Elephas maximus indicus: one gene and its partner. The protein of the gene in region 1 purifies or fractionates together with the protein of each later gene. This does not show direct contact. Links are inferred from orthologs where the notes say so. Each region holds a gene or a part of one and is shown on either strand. Other genes may lie near its edges.

Region 1 (11,771 bases):
AGGTTGGCAGCTCGAATCCACCAGCTCCTTGGAAACCAGATGGCACAGTTCTACTCTGTCCTATAGGATTGCTATGAGTCAAAACCAACTCAACAGCAATGGGTTTGGTCTCATAAGGCTGCTCCATGATATGGATTTCTAAAATACCTTAAATGGTGTTTTTAAATTTTATAATACATTCAGGTAAAGTATGAAAAGAAGCTAATATAAATTAACATGAGTATAGTGAATATACCTATCAGGGCCTTAGTAAATATCTCTATTTTTCAAATTTGTTTATGTATCAGATCACTCAGATGTTCTTTGTGAACTGCCATGAAGTATTAACAAGTTAAACTAAAAAAAAAAAAATAAGAGTTTATTGAAAACTTACCAGGCTCAAAGCACTGTGCTAAGTGTTCCAAGAGCGTAAGCCAACCCAAGATCACTCAACTAATAAGTGGCAGAGTCAGTACGTGAATCCAGTCCTTGAATCCTGAATCAGAACTATTATTTCCTATGCTATACTGTCTCTTCTAAACATACTGTATCATACTAAATTAGTACAAACTTCTAACTGTAGGTCATAGGTTAAAGAAAAAGTTGTGACAATAAAATTTAAAATTTTATCAGCTAATATTATTTTTCCCAGAAAATCGGAACAGAAAGAATCCCTTTTCAATTTCTGTTAAAAATCTATGTCAAAAATACAGAACACCAACACAGAGTTGGAGAACACGACTGGTGATTTACTAACCTAGTGCCCTGTATCTGGACTATGAACACAGACAATGTGGCACAGTTGTAAAGTATGCAGGCTTTGGAATCAGAAAGACCTGAGTCAGAATTCTGGGCCTGAAATTTATTGGCTCTGTAAACGAAGCAAGTGATTTAACCTTGATAGATCTCAGTTTCCATCTAAAAAACAGAAAAATTACTGCGTACCTCAGAGTTGGTGCAAGTTATAAAAAATGATGCACGTAAAAGGAGCCCTAGTAGCGCAATAGTTAAGTGCTCTGCTACTAAACGAAATGTCAGTAGTTCGAACCCCCAGAGGCTCCACAGGAGACAAGACCTGGTGATCAGCTCCCGTAAAGATTACAGCCTAGAAGCAGCTCTACTCCATCATATAGGGCCACTACGAGTCGGAACAGACTTGACGGCACACACAACGGCAGTGTGCATAAAGCATTTAGCACAGTACAAATGCTCAATAGGAGCTAGTTATCAGTTTTGTGACTAGTGAGCCTCTGAATCCACAAATAAGACAATAATCTGTGCAGTTAGTTTTTAAAAAATCAACGACATCAGTGCTGACAATAAAAACTTTTTTCTAATACCAGAACATAAATAAAGAATATTAATTTAGACTGATATTTTTAATAATTCAATTCCAAAGAGTTAATGTTAGTTGAAGACATGCTTTTAGCCGTAATCCTAGGTCTCTCCATAGACCTGTGTTTTGCTCAGTACTATGACATAAAGATTGTAAAATCCAAACAGATTTGCAAAACCTAATTTTTCACTTATTAAATCACAAATGGGCTATAATCCAGGCATAAGAAAGGAAATTATTAAGAATTAGCTATTTTTCAGATCTATAAATGGAACCAATGAAACAAATGAAATGGGGGCAATTATTTGAGACAATGAAGCATTTTGTCTTATGAAATTAATGCATCCCAAAAGCAGCACGGAAGTATCTAAAATACGATTGAAAGAGTTCATGATTTTACGAAATTTCCTTTATTATAGACAAATCCAATAAATTAATCCCATCTTGGTCTGAATTAACGGATGGTCTTTTAACCTAAGAGTACAAAAATTTGCCTAACATCACACAGCATCTGCCACATGGCTGTCAACTCCAGTCCACAGATCTTTCACTGTATCTAATATTAAGCAATGAATTCACCAAGGTTTCAATAATACTTCATGAAAGTGTTCTTTTCTTGAATCTTCCTCATACAACCTTGTTACCACTAACAATGTTCAAGATAAAGTGGCCAAAGTCCCATATAATCAAATTGGAGAGTGAATCTAGGCAGACTCTCTCCTTCTCTTAGATGATAAAAGACTCTATTGCTAAGTTTAGTTAAACATGTAAAGCTAGGTTTAGTAAATCTTCAATATTCACATGCAGCCAATCCTATATGCCCATTTTTGGAGCAATCCTTCCACTACTGGCTTTTGGCCAAATCAAGAGGATCAGTCATTCAGGCCTGGAGACAAGCCGTGAGTTGTGCTTGCAGTCATTTGTTTTTTAGGCAACAACGAAGGAAAGAACATTTGCTCTCTCAGACATAAAGAAACAACTAGAGAGTGATTATCACCACTCCTGGTAATAATTTCCTCCACATTTTGCCACTCCAGGTATTGAGCTCTCAACATTTAATATATTGAGTCTCCAGCTGAAAGGTGACTAAATTTTACTAAGTAACCATCACTTACCTGGCTATGTCATATACACGGTCTGCAACCCGACTTCCAACCTGAAGGATAACAAGAGGCAATGATACACACAAGATGAGCAGGCTTAACAGAGAAGTAACACTTTTCACAGCATTCGACAATCCACAGGTTACTTACGTTTCAACTGGTAGAGAAGTACTTCCCTTAATCCCTTTTTCTATTTGACCACAGCAAGTTTCTCCTCTATTTCAAAATAATCCCCCGCCGCAAAAAAAAAAAAAAAAAAAAAAAATCCCATTGCTGTCGATGAAACAACATACGTATGTTATATACACACATATATAACGTATCCTTTATATTTCATGTGAAAAAGGGAATCCACAGACCGGGAAAAAATTTTTGGCTATGACATATCCACAAGGGTCTAATCTCGAAAGTCTAGAGAATACTTCAACACCTCAACAATAAAAAGACAAGCAATCCAGCTAAAAAATGGGCAAAGGATATGAACAGACACTTCACCAAAGAAGACATTCAGATGGCTAATAAACACAGGAAGAAATGTTCGCGATCATTAGCCGTTAAAAAAAAAAAAAATCATTGCCGTTGAGTCGATTCTGACTCATAGCAACTCTATAGAACAGAATAGAACTGCCCCATAGGGTTTCCTAGGAGCAGCTGGTGGATCAGAACTGCCAATATTTTTGGTTAGCAGCCTGAGCTCTTAACCACAGCTTTGCCAAGCCATTAAAAAAAAAGCCATTAAAAAAGTGAGATGCAAATCAATTTATGACCGTAATTGCGGCCTACCAACGGGACTGGTCAGTTTTGCCTTAAAAGAAAGCCAGTTGTGAGAGGGTGTAAGGGAACACACTCACCTGCAGATATAAGTTTAGTGGTGGATATTTCTACGTACATAACTGAATGTGTTGCTTATATATTCATACAGACAATAGAGCACACAAGGGCCACAGTTAGGGCAACGTTTTAGATGTAACCAAATACCTCACGGGACGAAGTTCCTAGGCTCAAAGGCGAAGAACCATAGACTCAGGGGACATCTACGTCAACTGGCACAACATAGTTCATAAAGACAAAGTTCTGCATCCTACTTTGGTGATTAGTGCCTGGGATCTTAGAAGCTTGTGAGCAGCCATCTAAGATACAACTATTGGTCTTCTGTGGTCCAGAGCAAAGGAGAGTGAAGAAAACCAAAGACTCAAGGGAATAATTAGTCCGAAGGATTAATGGACCATACGAACCATAGCCTACACAGCCCTGAGACCAGAAAAACTAGATGGTGCCCAGCCAGCACTGCCGACAGCTGACTGGGATCAAAACAGAGGATCCCAGACAGAGTGGGATGAAAACTGTAGAACAAAAATCAAATTCACAAAAAAGACCAGACTTACTGGTCTGACAAGGACTAGAGGAACCTTGGAGACTATGGCCCACGACACCCTTCTGAACTGGAACTGAAGCCATTCCCAGAGACCACCCTTCAACCAAACCACAGACAGGCCCACAAAATAAACAATAATACCCAAGAGCAACGTACTCTTACATGAGATCAAAAGGGCAACATTTGCCCAAAAGCAAAGATGAGAAGACAGGAAGGGGTAGGAAACCAAGACAAATGGAAACAGAAAACCTAGGATGGAAATGGGGAGAGTGCTGACACATGGTGGGGAATGACAACAATGTCAGGGAACAAAATCAATTTGCTCCATAAATTTACACCTAATGCACAATAAAAATTCAAAAAAAAATACAAATGAAAACGATGTGTACTTTTGAATTTTCTAGTCTTTTCTAGTAGCTACTTTTAAAAACATAAAGGGAAAAATTAGTTTGAATAATATATTTCATTTAACCCAATATATCAAAAATTTGATTATTTCATCAAGGAATCAATATAAAATAGAGATATTTTACATGATTTTTTTCCTCACTGAAATTCAGTGTGTATTTTACACCTAAAGTGCATCTCGATTGGACTAGCGACATTTCAAGCGTTTCAAAAGCCACATGCGGCCAGGGCTACCCTAATGGATGGACAGCACACAGAGTACAAAGCCCTTACCTTATGAGGCCCTAATGACTTGGGCCCTCCTGACTACCTCTCCCACTCACTAGAGCTCTAAGCTCCACCGTCGCTGAAGACTCAACAAGGTCCCTTTGGCCTCAGGCACCTTGCACTTGTCCTTCCCTTTGCCTCCCTCAGCTTGACTACGAAATTCTTCATCGGGTCTCCTGCCCAGCGGCCATTCCTGACCACAACAGTCATCATCATTTAACTTTTTTTTTTTTTAATTTTCCTGACCTAACTGAAATCGCCGTATTGGTTAATTTGTTTCTTGCCTAGGGTCTGTTTCGCCCGCTCCGCCCCCATCCCACCTCCCTCGAAGAACGCAAGCCTTATGAGAACCGCGTTCTTGCTCTGCCCTGGTCACAGCTGTACCTCAAGCGATATTTGCTGAGTGAATGAATGAACGAACGAATGAATGAGTAAAACACTCCGAACACCCGAGCCCCACCCTCCCGTGATTAGAGCAGAGGCCCAGGGAGGCAGGGCGGCTGCCCAAGGTCACACAGCAAGACGGGGTCAGGGCCCGGCCCCAGCTCCCGGATCCGCAGCCCGGCCTCGGCGCCGCCCTTCCCCGACCCCCGCGCTCTCACCTCCTCCTTCAGGTAGTCATACTTCTTCGGCTCGGGCTGCTGAGCGGCCCAGTTCTTCTGTTTCCTCTTCAAATTCCGGTCGAAAATATTCAGAGCTCTAGGCGAGGCACCACCCGGGGGAAAGACGCCAGAAGCCACCTCCCTGCGGCTGAGGTTTCCCGCGAAGACCCCCGCCGCCCGAGGCCGCCGCCACAGGCGCCAGAGCTGCTCGAGTCGCAGCATCTTTAACTGTGACGCCACTAGCCGGCGCGCTTCGGTCGCGCGCATGCGCCACCGCTGCTTTAGCGGCTACTGTATAGATCTTCGCGGAAGGAATAGCGAAGTAGTTTTGGCCTTGCTCGCGTGCCGTTACGGCCGAGTGCCGCGGAGGATTGTGGGTGTGGGTCTCGTGTGAGACGCACCGAAGGCGCCGCGAATCTGTGTGGGTTGCTGAGCCCAAGGAGGTAGGTAGAGAGGGAAGAGCCAGTCTCTGACAGGCTATCCTTCGGTTTCTTCAGTGGTGGACCCTTTCCTCCTGGCCTTTCTGGCCTCGTTTTTCAGACTTCCTTGATCCTCCTCAATGGTCGCTTTCTCTAGGGGCCTCAGCCAAATAGCTGCAGGGCAAGGGGACACTCGGTTCATTACTCAGCCTGAGGCACCGGTAGAAGGGCAGGGTGGGCTAAGGAGATGACGGTGGGCGTAGGAGCTAAGTCTGATCTCTTTCCCTTCTGTTCGAATATCTGACCTTTCATTCTAAACATTTACACGTGTTATCTTTATTAATTGGATAAGATGATGTCCACGTCGGAAGGCTGTCTCGGAGGGTTAAATAATACATCTAAAGCTCTCAGAACAGTAGCTGGCATGTAAGAGCTCGCCGTTATTAATATCAGTATTATTTTTGTTTAGCTGTGTAAATGCGTCTTTGAAACCTAGTTAAGGCATTAAAGAAATTGTTTTAAGAAAAAAGTACAGCTTTGTAGTCAAGCCGTGTTTTTGAAACATTAAAACAAAGCATAACTATTCTCTTTGATCGGTCACTATTTACTTTTAAAACTCACTTTTGGCATTTACCAAAAATCAAATCCAGAGATGCTAAACCATTGGTCAGTTTTTTCAAGGGGCCAATGCTGATTTGTATGTGTGTATCTATCTATTCTGATGTAATAATCTAATGTAAGATGTTATAGAAAAACTGTGATTTTTTTTTTGACTGGAGTGAGACTTTACCTGGTTCTTGAAGGATAGTAGGATTTAAAGAGGGAAGTTTGTGAGCTAAACCTGAAGTGATTTGGATCTGTTTATGAAGTAGTTAGGAGACTGGCTTTGTAAAACTAGAGGCTGTTGGGAGTAGCAGGAGGTAAGGATTGACAGTGAGAATGGGACCAGAATGCAGAGAAATAAGGGAGACAAACTAAGGCTTGGAAGTCTTTTAATTACTTTAGCTTTTAACTTACAACACAAACAGGAATACATATAGAAGTTTTAAATGAGTGCCATTGGTTAGTAGGCATTTACCACAACATAAAACTCTGAAATTCTGCTTGGCTTTGACTTATATTTATCTCCAAATGTTTTCAAATGAAAAGATAGTTTGAATATGGTTTTTTCTACATGTAACCCAGAGCAAGTAGAGAAAATGAAATAAGACTTGTTACCTTCATTTAACTTATAGCATATTGTGAATTAATATTTTTCCAAATATTTAATTAGATCCATAACTCTTCATTATTGTAACATTTGTTTTATTTTTTAGTATTTGGTTTCTTCAAGCATTTGTCCAGTCCAGAAGTTTAAAAATGGCATCTAAACAAGAAATAATGAGTGATCAGCGGTTTAGACGGGTTACAAAGGACCCGAGATTTTGGGAAATGCCAGAAAAGGATAGAAAAGTCAAAATTGACAAGAGATTTCGAGCCATGTTTCATGACAAAAAGTTCAAGTTGAATTACGCTGTGGATAAAAGAGGGCGCCCCATCACCCACAGTACTACAGAGGACTTGAAACGTTACTACGACCTTTCGGATTCTGATTCAGATCTCTCTGATGAAGATAGCGAAGCCCTGAACCAAAAGAAAATGAAGAAGAAAAAACCCCAGACTAAAACAGGAATAGATTCAAAAAGTCTAGTCGAGAAAAAGAAAGAAACTGAAAAAATTAATCAAAAGGTTGCTGAAAGTAAAAATGAATTAGATAATTCTGAAATAATTCAGAAAGCAAAAATGTCCTTCAAATCTAAGAAGCTGGATTCAAAAATAAGTCCTAAGAAGGATAGCAAAGAATTTACACAGAAAGGTACAAAAGAGAAAAAAGAAGTTGTTCAACATAGTACAGACTACGTTCCTAAAGGAAAACTAAAGGTAGTTGACTCCGACATCACTAAAGTTGTGAAATCACCAAAGGTCGAGTGTTCTGAGACAAGAAGAGAAGTACAATCAGGTTGGTTGGAAAGAATTAGGGATGCTTTATTTTTTATGCTGATTTTTAAAATACAAATATACCTTAATAAGTATTTTCATGGTATGATGCCTGCTGCTGGTGAGTCAATTCCGACTCATAATGACCCTATAGGACAGGGTAGAATTGTCCCGTAGGGTTCCCAAGGCTGTAATTTTTATGGAAGCAGACTGCCACAGCTTTCACCTGTGGAGCAGCTGGTGGATTCCAACGCCAGCTTTCCAGTTAGCAGCTGAGTGCTTTTACCACTGTGCCACCAGTATAATGAGAATGGTCAAATGTTTATTTGGAAGTACAGAGCAATGAAAAAAAAACTATGAAATGATTATTAATTTTTGATTTGGTTCTGTAATGGCTAGAAGACAGGCAAATGAAGGTTTGAGGCTAAATAATGACTTGGATTTGTAGTGGGCACTAATGAGAGCCATATTTTATAACTAGAGAAGGTGTTATATGCTATCATTGCGTGATGAGCAGTATGTCTGAAGCAGGTAAGTAGAGTTGATTATGTATGCGTTCCTTTATTTTCTCAACAAATACATATTTAGTAAACAATAGTGGCAGATAGGAAACTTTGGTGGCATAGCAGCGAAGTGCTATGGCTGCTAACCAAAAGGTTGGCAGTTCAAATCTACCAGGCACTCCTTGGAAACTATGGGGCAGTTCTACTATGTCCTGTAGGGTCGCTATGAGTCAGAATCGACTGGACAGCAATGGGTTTTTTGGTTTTCTTTTTTAGTGACAGATAGGAGCCCGGGTGGCACAGTGGTTAAGCGTTAGGCTGCTAACGAAAAGATTGGCAGTTTGAATCTACCGTATGGGGCATTTCTACTCTGCCCTGTAGGAGTGCTGTGAGTCGGAATCGACTCCACAGCGATGGGTTTGGTTTTTTTTGTTTATTGGCAGAGAGGAGCCCTGGTGGTGCAGTGGTTAAGGGTTCAGCTGCAAACCAAAAGGCCAGCAGTTTGAATCTACCAGCCACCCCTTGGGAACTCTATGGGGCAGTTCTACTCTATCCTGTAGGGTTGCTATGAGTCGGAATTGACTTTATGGCAGCAGGTTTGGTTTTGGCAGACAGAACATGAGTAAGGCATGGTCCCCTATCTCAGAGCTACTGCTAGCTTATATGATGCCTTTGAGCAAATTAGAAAAGACATCCCCCTCTGAACACACAGAGCTCCCAGGGTTCAGTTTGGTGAGGTAACAGATTCTCTGAGTGAAGCAACAGATTCCTTTCCCCTGGGTGGAGAGTACCCCCCTTCCCTCCCTCTTCCCCTCATAGCTTTTTTGCAAATAACAGTCTGCTAAACTCTATACAGTGGCCCTAGACTAAAGCAGGCATGTCTAATAGAAATCTGTAATTTTGAATTCTTTGGTAGCCACGTTAAAAAAGTAAAAAGAAACAGATGAAATTAATTTTAATAGTATATTTTATTTAACTTAGTATGTAAGAAATATACCATTTCAACATGTAATCAACACTTAAAAATTCAGTGGAATATTTTACTTTTTCTTTTATACTAATTCTTCAAAATCTGGTGTGTTTTACACTTACAGCACATTGCAGTTTGAACTAGCTCTGTTTCAGGTACTCAATAGCCACACGTGTCTGTGGGCTTCCGTTTGAACAACACAGATCTAAAATAGAAAAAGAAATTAGTCAACGGTAATACAAAATAGAATAATAGTAAGTGCCATAAAAGACATTCAGCAAAAGACGATGAGAATTCAAAAGAAAAGGCCACTTGAAATGTGTAATCAGAAAAAAATCGTAGAAGCACTATTTTGATTGAGATTTGGAAAAATTAAATTTGGGGATGAGAACATTCTACATGGAAAGACCTTAAGCAAAGACAGGGTTGGGCATGTCAGAAGACATTGGTAGTCCTGTTTAATGAGTTAAGTCTCTGAAGGGGTGAGTGGATGATAGAGCGAGAAATGGTTGTTTGGAGCTACACTCTAGTTCATGTTTACATAATTAACATTAAAATTTTGTGTCATCTCTGGCAGCAGTAAATTTTGAGTGTCGGTGTTGCTGATAATTGATGTTATAAAGAAGAATTAGTTGTTCAGATGACCCCGACAAATTGCCTGTAATCACAGGACCGTAGGAGAATAAGTGTCATGAAAAGGCAGAGAAAATTCTTGACAGATCACATTGGGAAGGTAGGAAATATCAGGCAGTACCCAGAATTGTAGGTGGCAGGAACTAGGGGTTTAAGGATGGGATCCCATTCCATTTGTAGTGGAGCCAGGCAGCAAACTGAGGTATGAGGAGAATGGATAGGAGTCTGTTTACTAAAATTGGAAAATAAGGTCAGGGTGGGACCAGCAGTTAGATCAGTTTAAAGTTGAGTTTGTTAGCTAAGTAGTTTAGAGTCCTTTAAGTTCACTTAATTTAGGACACTGGATTAATGTGACACATTCATATAAGCCTCTAGATTGATTTTACAGAATTTTTTCACATATCTTTTCTCATTAATTTTCTTAATAACCCCGAGAAATCAGGATATATTTCTCAGGAAGCAAGGCTAAAGTGACTTGGGTGAGGACACACAGAGCTGGAAGTGTAAGTCAAGCCTTCTGATTCTTCCCACCCTACCATGTTGCTGGTGGTAACTTATGTTGGTTTCAGAGCCTAGAAAACGCATCTGTAAGTGGCGATTAAGTGACTCCTCGTAGGACCATCTTTAGTTTATTATCTACAGTTTTCATTCCAGCAACTACGGCGTGCGAGGGACTTTCTAAGTGTTGCAGGATAAAAGTAATGTGAGGAGTTGCAGTTTGGTATGTGTTATTTTTAAATGTTCAAGCCCAGCACACCTAGACTCCTAAGAATTTATTCTAAATATATAATTGGACATATGTACAAAGGATGTGTCTTGCAGTATTGTTTTAAAAAAATAAGAAAAAAAAATGGTAACCTAAATCATTAGGAGTCTGATTAATTAAATTACGATATCCAAACATGCCTGTGATATACAAAGTTTTAAAACATAGGTTATAAAATAACATAAATGATGTGACTTAATTGTATTAAAAAAAAATTAGTCTATCATAGAAAAGCATTTAGCCAATTATGTACCAAAATGTTAATAATAGTTACCTGTAGATGAAAAATTACTAGTTACCTTTACTTTCTTTAAATTTTATTTAAATGGGATCATACAATATTTGTACTTTGTTGAGCATAATGTTTTCAGGTTCATCCATGTCATAGCATGTATCAGAACTTTATTTCTCTTTATGACTAAAATTCCATTGTACATATATATTTACCACGTTTTATTTATCTATTCATCTGTTAATGGACACTTGAATTGTTTGTACCTTTTGGCTATTGTGAGTAATGCTGCAATTGATGGACAAGTGTCTGTTTGGGCATATACCTAGGGGTGGAATTGCTGGGTCGTATGGTAATTTTATGCTTAATATTTCGAGGAACTATTTTCCACAGTGGCTATACGATTTTACATTCTCATCAGCTATGGATGAAGGTTCCAGTTTCTCCACATTGTTGCCAACACTTATTGTTTTCTGTTTTTCTAATTATAGTCAGATTTTTAAAATATTAAGTTTATGTATGTATTTCAACACCTTTGAAAACCGTCCCATCATGTCTGCGACTTCAGGAATATTGCTTAGAACAAAGCCTTTTTTTTTTAAAGTCAATTAAAAGAAAAATATAGGTGGTATGCAGAAGTCATGAAAATAGTATGATAATGACTGAAGCTTGAGAAATATTGCAGTAGTACATGCATCTAGGTCCTTGAGGTGTTATTTCTGAGCACTGTGTTGCTTAAGAATGAACTCTGCTGCTTACCTCAGGATAGCTTTCTTTCACTGTTACGGTGGTGACTTCCTGATTCCATATACAGAGCTTATGGTAATGCCACCTCTTGTCTTTGTCGCATTTAATAGCTAGTTATTTTTATTATTTCCTACTCCCTTGTGGTACTAAAATAAAAGTCTATGTTCTGTCTTTCCACCTGACAAAACTTTCATTCGCTTAGTCTCAGGTCAAATGACATCTTTGTGAAGCCTCCCCTGTTATTAATACCTCTCTGTGGTCTCCTGATGCTTTAGAACACAGATTTCTAAATCAGTGAACAGTTTCCTTTTGTTTTAGAACCTCCACGACCATGGGATCATGTTACAAAACATCCCTCTTTCCCTAGCTCAGTGCTTGCTTTGTACATAGTAGATACTCAGTAACAGTTCCTCCATGCTTCATAGGTTTATGAAATCAAGAGAAACTAGGTTCC
Region 2 (10,902 bases), on another chromosome or scaffold:
CTAGAAAAAAGGCTCAGGATCCCACCAACATAAAGCATGATGGGCAATGGTGAGAGAACACCATTAATAAAGGTGATAACACAGGAAATCTCCCCGCCCAATATCACTGTTGGGTAGGCACGCTACAGGAAGGGGCAGCAAGTCCAGGGCATCCCCACTGGAGATGGTGCTTCCTTTCTCTTCGGTGGTCCATTGTCTTGGGAGGAGGGTGCAGCACCTCACCATAAACACAGCCTCCCTAGGTGCAGGGTGGTGCTTTTTAAGGGTTCAGAAAAGCTGGTGGTCACACACGCCGTCTGGGAGACGCATCGGTGGCAGAGGTCCACTGAGGCCCCAGGCGGTGGTGTGTCTGCACGGGTGCCTGCCCTTATCCTGGTGGAGACACCCCAAACCTTATGTGCTGGGCTGGCGTGGGGGCTGTGTGCTGACTACATGTAGGATGCCCAGCTGTGAGGAGGACTAGCCTTTGAGACGTTCCTCAGAAACCTCACCACACAGCTCTTCACCTGCACCTTCTGAAATAATTGTCATTTCTGTCTGAAAGCTGGAGATGGAAAACCAAAAGGGAAGAACACGCTTGGCATTTCTTAGGCTGAAAGAACTGAAGAAAAAATTCAAGCCTTGAGTTGCAATAATTAAGGATTCTATGGGGAAAATATTAAACGACGCAAGAAGCATCAAAAGAAGATGGAAGGAATACACAGAGTCATTATACCAAAAAGAATTAATCGATGTTCAACCATTTCAAGAGATGCATATGATCAGGAACCAATGGTACTGAAGGAAGAAGTCCAAGCTGCTCTGAAGGCATTGGCCAAAAACAAGGCTCCAGGAATTGATGGAATATCAATTGAAATGTTTCAACAAACAGATGCAGCACTGGAGGTGCTCATCCGTCTATGCCAAGAAATATGGAAGACAGTTTCCTGGCCAACTGACTGGAAGAGATACATATTTATGCTTATTCCCAAAAAAGATGAACCAACCGAATGTGGAAATTATAGAACAATATCATTAATATCACACTTAAGCAAAATCTTGCTGAAGATCATTCAAAAACGGCTGTAGCAGTATATTGACAGGGAACTGCCAGAAATTCAGGCCGGTTTCAGAAGAGGACGTGGAACCAGGGATATCATTGCTGATGTCAGATGGATCCTGGCTGAAAGCAGAGAATACCAGAAGGATGTTTACCCGTGTTTTATTGACTATGCAAAGGCATTCAACTGTGTGGATCATAACAAATTATGGATAACATTGCGAAGAATGGGAATTCCAGAACGCTTAATTGTGCTCATGAGGAACCTTTACATAGATCAAGAGGCAGTTTTTCGGACAGAACAAGGGGATACTGAATGTTTTGAATTCAGGAAAGGTGTGTGTCAGGGTTGTAATCTTTCACCATACCTATTCAATCTGTATGCTGAGCAAATAATACGAGAAGCTGGACTATATGAAGAACGGGGCATCAGGGTTGGAGGAAGACTCATTAACAACCTGCGTTATGTAGGTGACGCAACCTTGCTTGCTGAAAGTGAAGAGGACTTGAAGCACTTACTAATGAAGATCAAAGACCACAGCCTTCAGTATGGATTGCACCTCAACAAAGAAAACAAAAATCCTCACAATTGGACCAATGAGCAACATCATGATAAACGGAGAAAAGATTGAAGTTGTCAGTATTTCATTTTACTTGAATCCCCAATCCACAGCCATAGAAGCGGCAGTCAAGAAATCAAGACGCATCGTATTGGGTAAATCTGCTACAAAGGATCTCTTTAAAGTGTTGAAGAGCAAAGATGTCACCTTGAAGACTAAGGTGCGCCTGACCCAAGCCATGGTATTTTCAATCGCATTATATGCATGTGAAAGCTGGGCAATGAATAAGGAAAACCGAAGAATTGATGCCTTTGAATTGTGTTGGCGAAGAATATAGAATATACCATGGACCGCTGGAAGAACAAACAAATCTGTCTTAGAAGAAGTACAGCCAGAATGCTCCTTAGAGGCAAGGATGGCGAGACTGCGTCTTAGATACTTTGGACTTGTTGTCAGGAGGGATCAGTCCCTGGAGAGGGACATCATGCTTGGCAGAGTACAGGGTCAGCGGAAAAGAGGAAGATCCTCAACGAGGTGGATTGCCACAGTGGCTACAACAATGGGCTTAGGCATAACAACGATTGAAAGGATGGCGCAGGACCCGGCGGTGTTTCGTTCTGTTGTGCATAGTGTCGCCTATGAGTTGGAACTGACTCAACGGCACCTAACAACAACAACCTGAAAGACGCTCCCCCGACCCCAGGTTGGCCTCACCCAGAGACCCGTGTCCCGTGTGGTCACACAGGTTCTGGGTGTTCATGAGTCCAGGGACACGTTCCACCAGCACAGGGTGCCTCCGGCCCTTCATTAGAAGTGACCCTGGAGGAACCAGTGCCCAGTAATATCCCCCTAGACAGCCCCCAGCTGTCTAGGAGGATATTACCTGGGGTGGGATTTTATTTCTGCCTTGATTTTCCTGCTAACCTAGTTTTCTGGACCCTTTTCTGTTGGGAGGTACCACCATCCCCTCCTCTCCCAGGAGGCTGGAACAGCGCTGCCTGCCTGGCACATGCTGGCTTGTTTCTCACCTGTCCGCAGAGAGACAGGCAGAGTCCTGGGAGCACCCAGTGCTTTCTGAAACGTGCCACTACTGGTGGGGTAGATCCAAGGGCGTCAGGCGCCTGGAACAAAGCCTCAGGTGGATCAAGGACGAGAGGGTCTCCACACCTGGGGAGAGGGGACTGATTATGGAATAGAATTTAGAAATGGGCCAGGTGAGGGCCTGAAAACAGGCCTGGGCTCGCTGGGTTGCAGGGCTACTCCTGCTCACTGGGCCTAGTGAGCCATGCTCTGGCATCTGGAGTAGGCTGCTGCATGAGAGGGGATGCCCACTCAAAGCAGTTCCCAGCGTGCCCAGGATTTTTGGGACCCCGATGGCCTGTGGGCTTTAGACTATTTAAATGTACGGCCGGGGCGGGTTCTGCACTTCTGATCTCCCTTTTAGCTCATGGAACGAGAGGATGGGGAGCTGGACTGGGCAAGAGAGATGTCAGTGATGAACTTGGGCTCCTGATACCAAGAGGAGGTAGCAAAAGGAGGGGTAAGGGGTCCCCCTTATAGCCCATTGTTAGTCTGGAAGTGTGACCCCACCTTTTCCTGGGACCAGGAAAGTCAGCTGTAGGATTCTCTACTGCATGGATTTTTTTTCCCCTCATGGTTTGCTGCTGTTCGGTGCCGTGGAGTTTGTTTTGATTAACCACCCCACGTACAATGGAAGGAAACACTGCCCAGTCCTGCACCATCCTCACAATTATTACTTTAACCCTTAAGGTGGCACTTCTAATTTTATTCCTGGTACATCCTTGTTCCCTGCCCTGCCCCCTGCACAGTCAAACAGAATCTGTACCGGTTGTCTTTTAGTTCAAGTATGTTTTATTCTGTCCCACACCCTGTTGTACATTCTTGCTGGGAAACCCACTCCCCCTCTTTCTGCAGCTCTCCCTGCAGAGACGCAGGCCCATTTGAGAGCCGAAGTCTCCATGCCTAGGTTTCAGCCTCAGTGTTAAATGCTGCCACGTGCTGTTGGCAAGGTTGGGCCTGGCTCTGTGCAGCTTGGGTGGGCTGGTCCCTCCTAGCAGCCTCCCTTCACGGTCTTGGCCTGAAAAAGAAGGTACTTTGTCAGCACAGGTAGTTTTCAGGTTAGATATGGCTCCAAAGCAAGAAAACTCCCACCACAAAGGTCTTCCTTGACCAAACTGGACTTAAGAAACGAGGCTGTGGCAGGAGGCTCAGCTGTGTGAACCCCAAAACACCAGGGTGTTGGTAAGGTGACCCCCCACCGCCCTCATCATCTCTGCTAATTTTCCGATGGTTTCTCAGGTTAATGTCATCGTCTTCTAATAAACACGTAAACTCCACGAAAACAAAAGAGTTTTGTGGACTTTTTGGCTGACTGTTATGGTGTCCCGACGTCTAAAGCAGCAGCAGGCGCTCGAGCACTGAAGGAATGAGAGGGAGGGCTACAACCCCGGGTGGAAAGCCCTGGGGAGGCGGGCAGGTGGGCAGCAGGCAGACCACCGGTTCGGGTTCCCTCCTGACCTCTCGGGCCTCCCGGCGCCCACCTACCGCGGCGGTGAAGCACCTCCGCAAGGCCTCGAACTCCTGTGCGCAGAGGTCCTTCCTCAGGCGGCTGCCCGGGGCAGTGGAGGCCTGCACGCACCTGCCATACGCCGCGGCCTGCAGAGGAGTCGGGCGCGGGTCGCGGCGGTCCTCTCGGCGCCAGACTCGTCCCACCGCCCTCCGCTCCCAGGGTCCCTCCGGGTCTCGGCTTCGCCCACCGCCCTCCGCTGCGCGCGGCCCTTCCTGCCCGGGAGTAGCCCCATCGCCCTCCGCTCTTCTCCCCGCGCGGCCCTTCCTGCTCCGAAGACACTGCCTAGTCCTCACCTCGGTCCCGCAGGCCGCCAGGCGCTCGGGGAAAGCGCGGAGGCGGCCTCGCACGCGACTCCACACCGCTCCCTTCGCTGACATGAACGACCGATCCGGGCCCCCGCGGGAGCCGCCATTTTGGGTCCGTCCTCTTCCGGCGCCAGCGGCCTCAGAGAAGCGCACTTCCGCCCTGACCTACACCGAGCTCTCTAATTGGTAGACTTCGACCTTCGCCCTCCACAACCGCCTCCAGAGCCGCGGCTGGTCTCTCAGAGTCTTGCAATTGGCTTGTGTCCTTGTCTGTTCTTGCTCTGGGACTTTGGATTGGTTTATGCTCAAATTGTTTACCGAAGCCAGCCCAGTGCCCGCCCCACCGCGAGCGGTTGGCCAACTGGGCCAGCCCCGCGCGGTGATTGGACGGGTCTGGGCCTGGCGGAAGCAGCGTGGCCAGGAGGTGGCCAGCATTATGGCGGCAGCGCCGCCGCTGCGGGACCGCCTGAGCTTCCTGCACCGGGTGAGTGTCCGCAGTCTGTCAGGTCTGTCAGGTCCTCCCCCTGCTCTGCTTTCTCCCCGCGCGGGCCGCCCGCCTCGGGGTCACCGCATGCCGCCGCTTCTGGGCCCGGCCCGCCCTCCCGGTGCTCGCAGGGCCTGGAGCCGCCGCGCACCGCACAGCCCCTCCTCAGGCCCTCGCTGGCCTCGGCCCCGGCCTCAGTCCCCATCCCGCCAGCCAGCCTCCCACCCTCGGTCCCCTCTGTCACCTCCTCCCTGCCCTGGGGTCCAGCGTCCCGGTCCCCTGGCCTCGGTCCCCTCTGTCGCCTCCCTCCGCCCTGGTATCCAGCTTCCCGGTCTCCCGGCCTCGGTCCTCTCTGTCGCTTCCTCCCTGCCTGGGTGGCCAGTTTGCCGGTCCCCCAGCCTCGGTCCTCTCTGTGGTCTCCCTCTGCCCCGGTGGCCAGCCTCCCGGTCCTCCGGCCTCGGTCCCGTCTGTCGCCTCCTCTCCTCCCTGGTGTCCAGCCTCCCGGTCCCCCAGCCTCGGTCCCCTTCCCAGCTCCTCTCCTGCCCCCCGTGTTCTGCCTCCTGCTGAGGTCTGAGTCTCTCCTGAAGGCTGGGACACCCCCGTGTACAACGCAGGCACATCACTCCGATAGGCGCATCACTCCGACTCTGGTGTCAGCTCTGGGGTTGAAGCCATCTCTTTCTGAAGGACCTCAGCCGGGAAAGTGGGAGCTCTAGGCTGCGAAAGTCTACTTTCTTTCCCAAATTAAAACAGCTTTAAGGAGAAAAAAACGTGGCGGGCATTGAACCCACATATACAGACCCCCTAGGCTCTCTCCAGGTCTGGTTGGCACGTGAGCCGTGTTTGCATTGGCCCATCCTGCCTTGTCCACTTAGCATCACCCAGACACGTTATCGTGCGCTGACACGATACTAGCGGCGCCCGTTTGTACCGTGTCACGTGCTTAGCACCCACGGGGTCTACGTACTCACTGCTTTAAACAATCCCAAACTCTCCTGTGTTTAGGATCAGGTGAACGACACGTTGGCTAATGAGAGGTTGATGTTCTATCCCTGTAAATAGTGCATTTCTTGCTAATAGCCACAGTGTGTGTGTGTGGCACACTGGTTAAAGCACTCAGCTGCTAATCGAAAGGCTGGGGTTCTAACCCACCAGTCAATCCTCACGAAAGATGTGGTAATCTTTTTCCATAAAGGTTACAGCCTTGGAAACTCTATGGGGTAGTTCTACTATATTCTACAGGGTCATGGGTCAGAATCGACTACAGCAGTGGCCTTTGAGTGGGTGCTGAAAGACCTCGGAAGAAAGGCTTGGCGACCTGGTTCTGAAAGGTCACAGCCATTGTAGACACTGTGGAGTACACTTCTATTCCGATACGTGGGTTTACCACGAATGGAGAGTCAACTCAGTGGCAACTAGTTCTGGTGCTGATAGATAAGTGTGTGCCGTAAATGAACATCCGCTTGTGCTGACGGGCAAACGTAAACACACAAGGTAAGCTGGGTGCAGGGTAGTTCTGTGAGGTCCGTGGCGGAGGTGGAGTGATTGGGTCCGTCAGCCCAGGCAGTTCTGTAATGTTGCCACTTCAAGCTCTGTAAAGACTGAGCCGCGTGCTGTATTTTTGTGGGAAGGGCTTGCCGCCAGGCTTGTTTCTCCTGCTTGGCCGTAGACAGCGCATTAAAGGCACTTTGAATTGTGCTGCCCGGCTGTGGGTGGGGGCCATTTGCGGTGCCTGTTTCGACCTGCTTGGAGAGCCACTGCCCCGGATCCTTTCCCTGATGGGTGTGCCAACAGTGAGATAGCTGGAAGCTGGCGCCCCTAAAGCACCAAGCACTGGGATGGCACGTCTCAGGAGTTTCCGGAGCTTCGTCACCTGCAGTGGCTGTGGGCTCACCCACGTGGGTGGCTCCTCACGCAGGGCCTCTTGCTCTTTCCAGCTTCCAGTCCTCCTGAAAGGCACGTCGGATGATGACGTCCCATGTCCTGGCTACTTGTTTGAAGAGATTGCTAGTATCCTTCCTGGGTGTCTGGGTTGGGGGAGTGGGCATCAGGGCCCTGAGTGGCCCAGAGATTACTGGGGTTCTTCTGCTACCCCGAGGTGGGCTCCGCGGGTGCTTGCACCCATAGTCAGGTGCGGGCAGGTCCGAACGTGGTGTTCCGATGACACGGGCCCTTGGGGGAGCATGTGCTGAGCAGGCCGAAGTGACGGGATAGCCTGCCTTCCTTCCCTAACCCCACACCCAGACATCTCCCACGAGTCCCTGGGGAGCAGCCAGTGCCTCCTGGAGTACCTCCTGAGGCGCTTGCAGAGCAGCTCGGGCCACGTGAAGCTCAAGGTGGGAGGGGAGGGGAGGCGGGTGAACTGCCCAGGGTGGAGGCGGCTGCTGCCGGCTGCCTGCCCACATAGCTCTTCCAACCCCAGGTACTGAAGATCTTGCTCTACCTGTGCAGCCATGGCTCCTCGTCCTTCCTGGGCATCCTGAAGCGCAACTCTGCCTTCATCCAGGAGGCCACCGGTGCGGGCGGGCGTGTCGTCTGGGCTGAGAGCACCCCCTCTAAGCGCAGCAGCCTTGCAGCCCAGACTGGGGGGTGGAGCTGTGATGGGGTGACGCGCTCTGCTTCCCCCCGGGGTGGGCTTCCAGAGTGTGCCCGCCTGGTGCCCAGGGCACCTGGTGCCAGACTGAGCACCGCCTCTCCTCTGTCTGCAGTCTTCACTGGGCCCCCCGACCCTCTTCACGGGAACAGCTTGTACCAGAAGGTCCGGCTGGCCGCCCAGGTGAGTCGCCTCCTCCGGGCCATTGTTCCCCTCCACACTGCACAGTAGCTTCATTCTCCCTCCCCCCGACCTGGGTACCCTGGGCTCTGCTTGGCCTGGAACCCCTGCCCCCGCCCCAGAGCCCCGTTGGCAGCCTGTACAGTGCAGAGGAGGTGCAGGTGGTTCTAGGACTGTGGAGAGTGGGGGAGGGTGGCGTGGAGGGGTGGGGGGACAGGGGGGCAGGGGTGTGGTGCGGCGTGCCTAAATAATCTCCGGCTCCTGTTTAGGACTTGGACAGCGCCCTGTTCTCAGATGCGGTGTCACCGCTGTCTGCCCCCCGAGTCCCCAGGCTGCTGCCTCCCACTGGTACGTGACATGCCCCTCCCTGCCATCCTGGGCTCTGCATCCCCAGTATGCGTGTGTGCTGCAGAGGGGGGCTACAGTGCTGACCCAGGGTCTCCTCCCCTAGGCATGGGCTCCCAGCCCCGGCCCCACAGCACCCTCCAGGGCTTCGGCTACAGCCATGAGAGGGGCCGTACAGGTGAGTCCTGTGGCTGCCCCCCTGGGGAATGGGAGCTAGTGCTCCAGGCTGGCCCAGCTGCCCCCAAGGGCATGGCATGAAGGGCCGGGGCAGCCAGCTGGCCTCTTCTACCCTGGCATGCTAACCTCCCTCGTCTTCTCTGTCCACCTGGGTTTGACCTTCTGCTGGGCCATGAGGAGGGTGGGGTGGGGACAGAAGTGCTCCATAGCAACAGCATGCCCGGAGAATGAGGTGAGGGACCAGCACCATTCTATTTCCCCTCCCGACACAGGCTCTGTGGGGGAAGCCTTCCTCTCCACGATCCAGAAGGCTGCAGAGGTGGTGGCTAACGCCATGCGTCCTGGGCATGAGCAGCCTGGTGCGCAGAGGTCCACGCTGGGGGATGACACCTACCAACCCGCTGTGACACCATCAGCCAGCCACAGCCACCCCTCTCCTGGGAGGCTGCTCCCAGGGGCCAGCCCAGGCACTCGAGGTTCCATGGCAGGGACCTCGCTGGAGTCTAGCTCTCCCTCCCTGTGGCCCGGCGGGGGACAAGCCTTAAAGGGGGGCGGCCTTCACCTCTGGGGGCTGGAGGGGCATCAGAGCCATGGGACAGCCACAGTGTTCCCACATGCAGGAAGACACAGCCCCTGGGCCAGGGCGGGCTAGAGATGAAGGGAATCCCCAGTGGGGTTGTCGGCCAAGCCCTGTCCCCAAAGCACCACACAGGGTGACTCACAACTGAGCTGGGCGACAGCTCCTCCCAGGCTGTCCCCGGGTCTCTCCAGGGGTCTGTGAGTCTAGGGGGCAGTATGAGGTCCCTGGGACTGACCTGCCTTCTGTCTTTCGCAGCTGTGAGACACCAGCCAGGGCAGCCTGGGGGCGGCTGGGAGGAGCCAGACAGCAGCCCCAGCTCCCGAGGGTCTTCCCAGGAGAATGGTAGCCAGAGCAGGGCCTCTGACTCTGGTAGCGGCTGTGTCAGTGATGGCTGTTCAAGGGTGGGCCGGGAGCCTGGCGAGCTGGTGGAGAGGTGAGGGGCGTGGCCAGGCATCAGGGGACAGCCCCTTTCTCTTTTAGTCCAGTCCCACTTAGATCCCCTCTTCCCTCCTTGGATCCCCCGTCCGGATCCCTCCTCCCTGGGTTCCCCCTCCCTGGATCCTCCCTGCCTGGGTCCCCACTTCCTGGCCCTTCCCTAGTATTTCACTGTAGCTTGGGGAGGAGGGAGGGGTCTGCAGTCTAGCAGGGGCCATTCCTCTCTGACTCTTCCCTGAGCTGATTGTCCGCCTGTCTGTCTGTCCATCTGTCTGACAGGGTTGAGGCTGTGGCCCTGAGCGACTGCCAGCAGGAGGCGAGCCTGGTGAGGGCTGTGATGCAGGGATCACGTGCCTTCCTGAGCCATGAGGAGATCCAGCACTTCCTCAAGGAGTGAGCACCCACTGCCTGCTGCGGGGAGGGGGGACACCCACAGGCCCACATGCTCCCCTGAAGCCCAGGTCTGGCCGTGGTCACCCCTTGGCCAGCCCCTGGCCCAGCTGTCCCTCTGTGCAGGTGTGGGCGGCTCAACTGCGAGGCCGTGCTGGAGCTGCTGACCCGCCACCTGGCTGGGGCCCAAGAGTGTGAGCAGATGGTGAGGGCCTGGCGAGGAGGGCTGGAGTGGGGCGTATGCCTGTGTGTGCACAAGTGTGTGTGTAGATGTGCATGCGTGAGTGTGCATGTACATACATGTGTGTATGTGTATACGTGAGTGTGCCTACGTACACGGACATGTGCGTGTGTGTACATGAGTGCTTATGTGCACAAGTGTGCATGTATATGTATGTGTCGATGTTCTCTGTGTGTGTACATGTGTGTGTACTAGTGTGTGTGTCTGAATGCTCGCGTGTGCAGGCATGGGTGTATGTATGTGCGTGAGAGCATGCGTGTATGCAGAGGGGTGGGGGGGAAGGGGCAGCGTCTCCACCCTGACTCCTCAGCCTCCCCAGACTCTGTGCTGGGGGTCAGGGTGGGGTCTGCAGTGGCCACCTGGGTGACCCTGTGCTTGGTCCCACAGTGAGAAGTCGGAGAGAGCCACCAGGCCGTCCTCCTCTGGGAGTGACTGTGCTGCCTGGTGGTCCCTCCCTCCTCACTGTCCAGGCCGGCTGGGGAAGGGGAGGAGGAAGAAGTGTGTGGTGCGAGCCCCCCCATCCCACTCTCCCACAGAGAGCCCTGTGTGCCCTGTCCGCCATCGGTGGCGCTGACCTGCTGTCCCAGGATCACGTGCTCTTCCTGGCCCGGCCACGGCTGCAAGAACTCAGTGTGGGCAGCCCCGGGCCTGTGACCAACAAGGCCACCAAGGTGAGCACCGGGGGGTTGCCCTGTGCGTGGCTCTGCGGGACGTCACGTCGTCAGAACGAAGATGTCAGGACACGCTCACTGGCATGATGGCCGTGGAAGGGAGAATGCAGGCGGTGCACGCAGCACGGCCTGGGCATCTGCGGGGGAGGGCCGTCAGAACTGGTGCCCCAGAACTGGCCCTGCTCTGTGTTGTGGCACTTGGAGAGGCACTCAGGGGCTGGGGCCTTGTCTTCTGCGGGACCCCCCGGCCCCAGCCTCCTCTCTCTCCCGGATTTCCAGATCCTGAGGCACTTTGAAGCTTCCTGCCGGCAC

Evidence for each region.
Region 2: the proteins of NDUFAF5 (region 1) and NDUFAF8 purify together in Homo sapiens (affinity purification with mass spectrometry; 3 studies listed by BioGRID and IntAct, counting the BioPlex papers as one, with this or other methods). This does not show direct contact. The link is inferred for Elephas maximus indicus from reciprocal best matches to the Homo sapiens genes NDUFAF5 and NDUFAF8.

Annotation. Positions count from the first base shown.
Region 1 is NC_064843.1:53,401,682-53,413,452, reverse strand, and holds the start of NDUFAF5 (arginine-hydroxylase NDUFAF5, mitochondrial), read right to left. Parts: upstream 5,316-11,771; 5' UTR 5,293-5,315; coding exon 5,071-5,292; intron 2,472-5,070; coding exon 2,431-2,471; intron 1-2,430. Other genes in the region: ESF1 homolog, read left to right, coding at 6,849-7,488. UniProt on the Homo sapiens protein: Arginine hydroxylase that mediates hydroxylation of 'Arg-111' of NDUFS7 and is involved in the assembly of mitochondrial NADH:ubiquinone oxidoreductase complex (complex I, MT-ND1) at early stages. May also have methyltransferase activity.
Region 2 is NC_064837.1:71,126,224-71,137,125, reverse strand, and holds NDUFAF8 (NADH dehydrogenase [ubiquinone] 1 alpha subcomplex assembly factor 8), read right to left. Parts: upstream 4,638-10,902; 5' UTR 4,567-4,637; coding exon 4,483-4,566; intron 4,276-4,482; coding exon 4,165-4,275; intron 3,698-4,164; coding exon 3,671-3,697; 3' UTR 3,606-3,670; downstream 1-3,605. Other genes in the region: AP-4 complex accessory subunit tepsin, read left to right, coding at 6,817-6,988, 7,223-7,314, 7,401-7,494, 7,687-7,754, 8,021-8,099, 8,203-8,274, 8,546-8,749, 9,109-9,286 and 4 more. UniProt on the Homo sapiens protein: Involved in the assembly of mitochondrial NADH:ubiquinone oxidoreductase complex (complex I, MT-ND1). Required to stabilize NDUFAF5.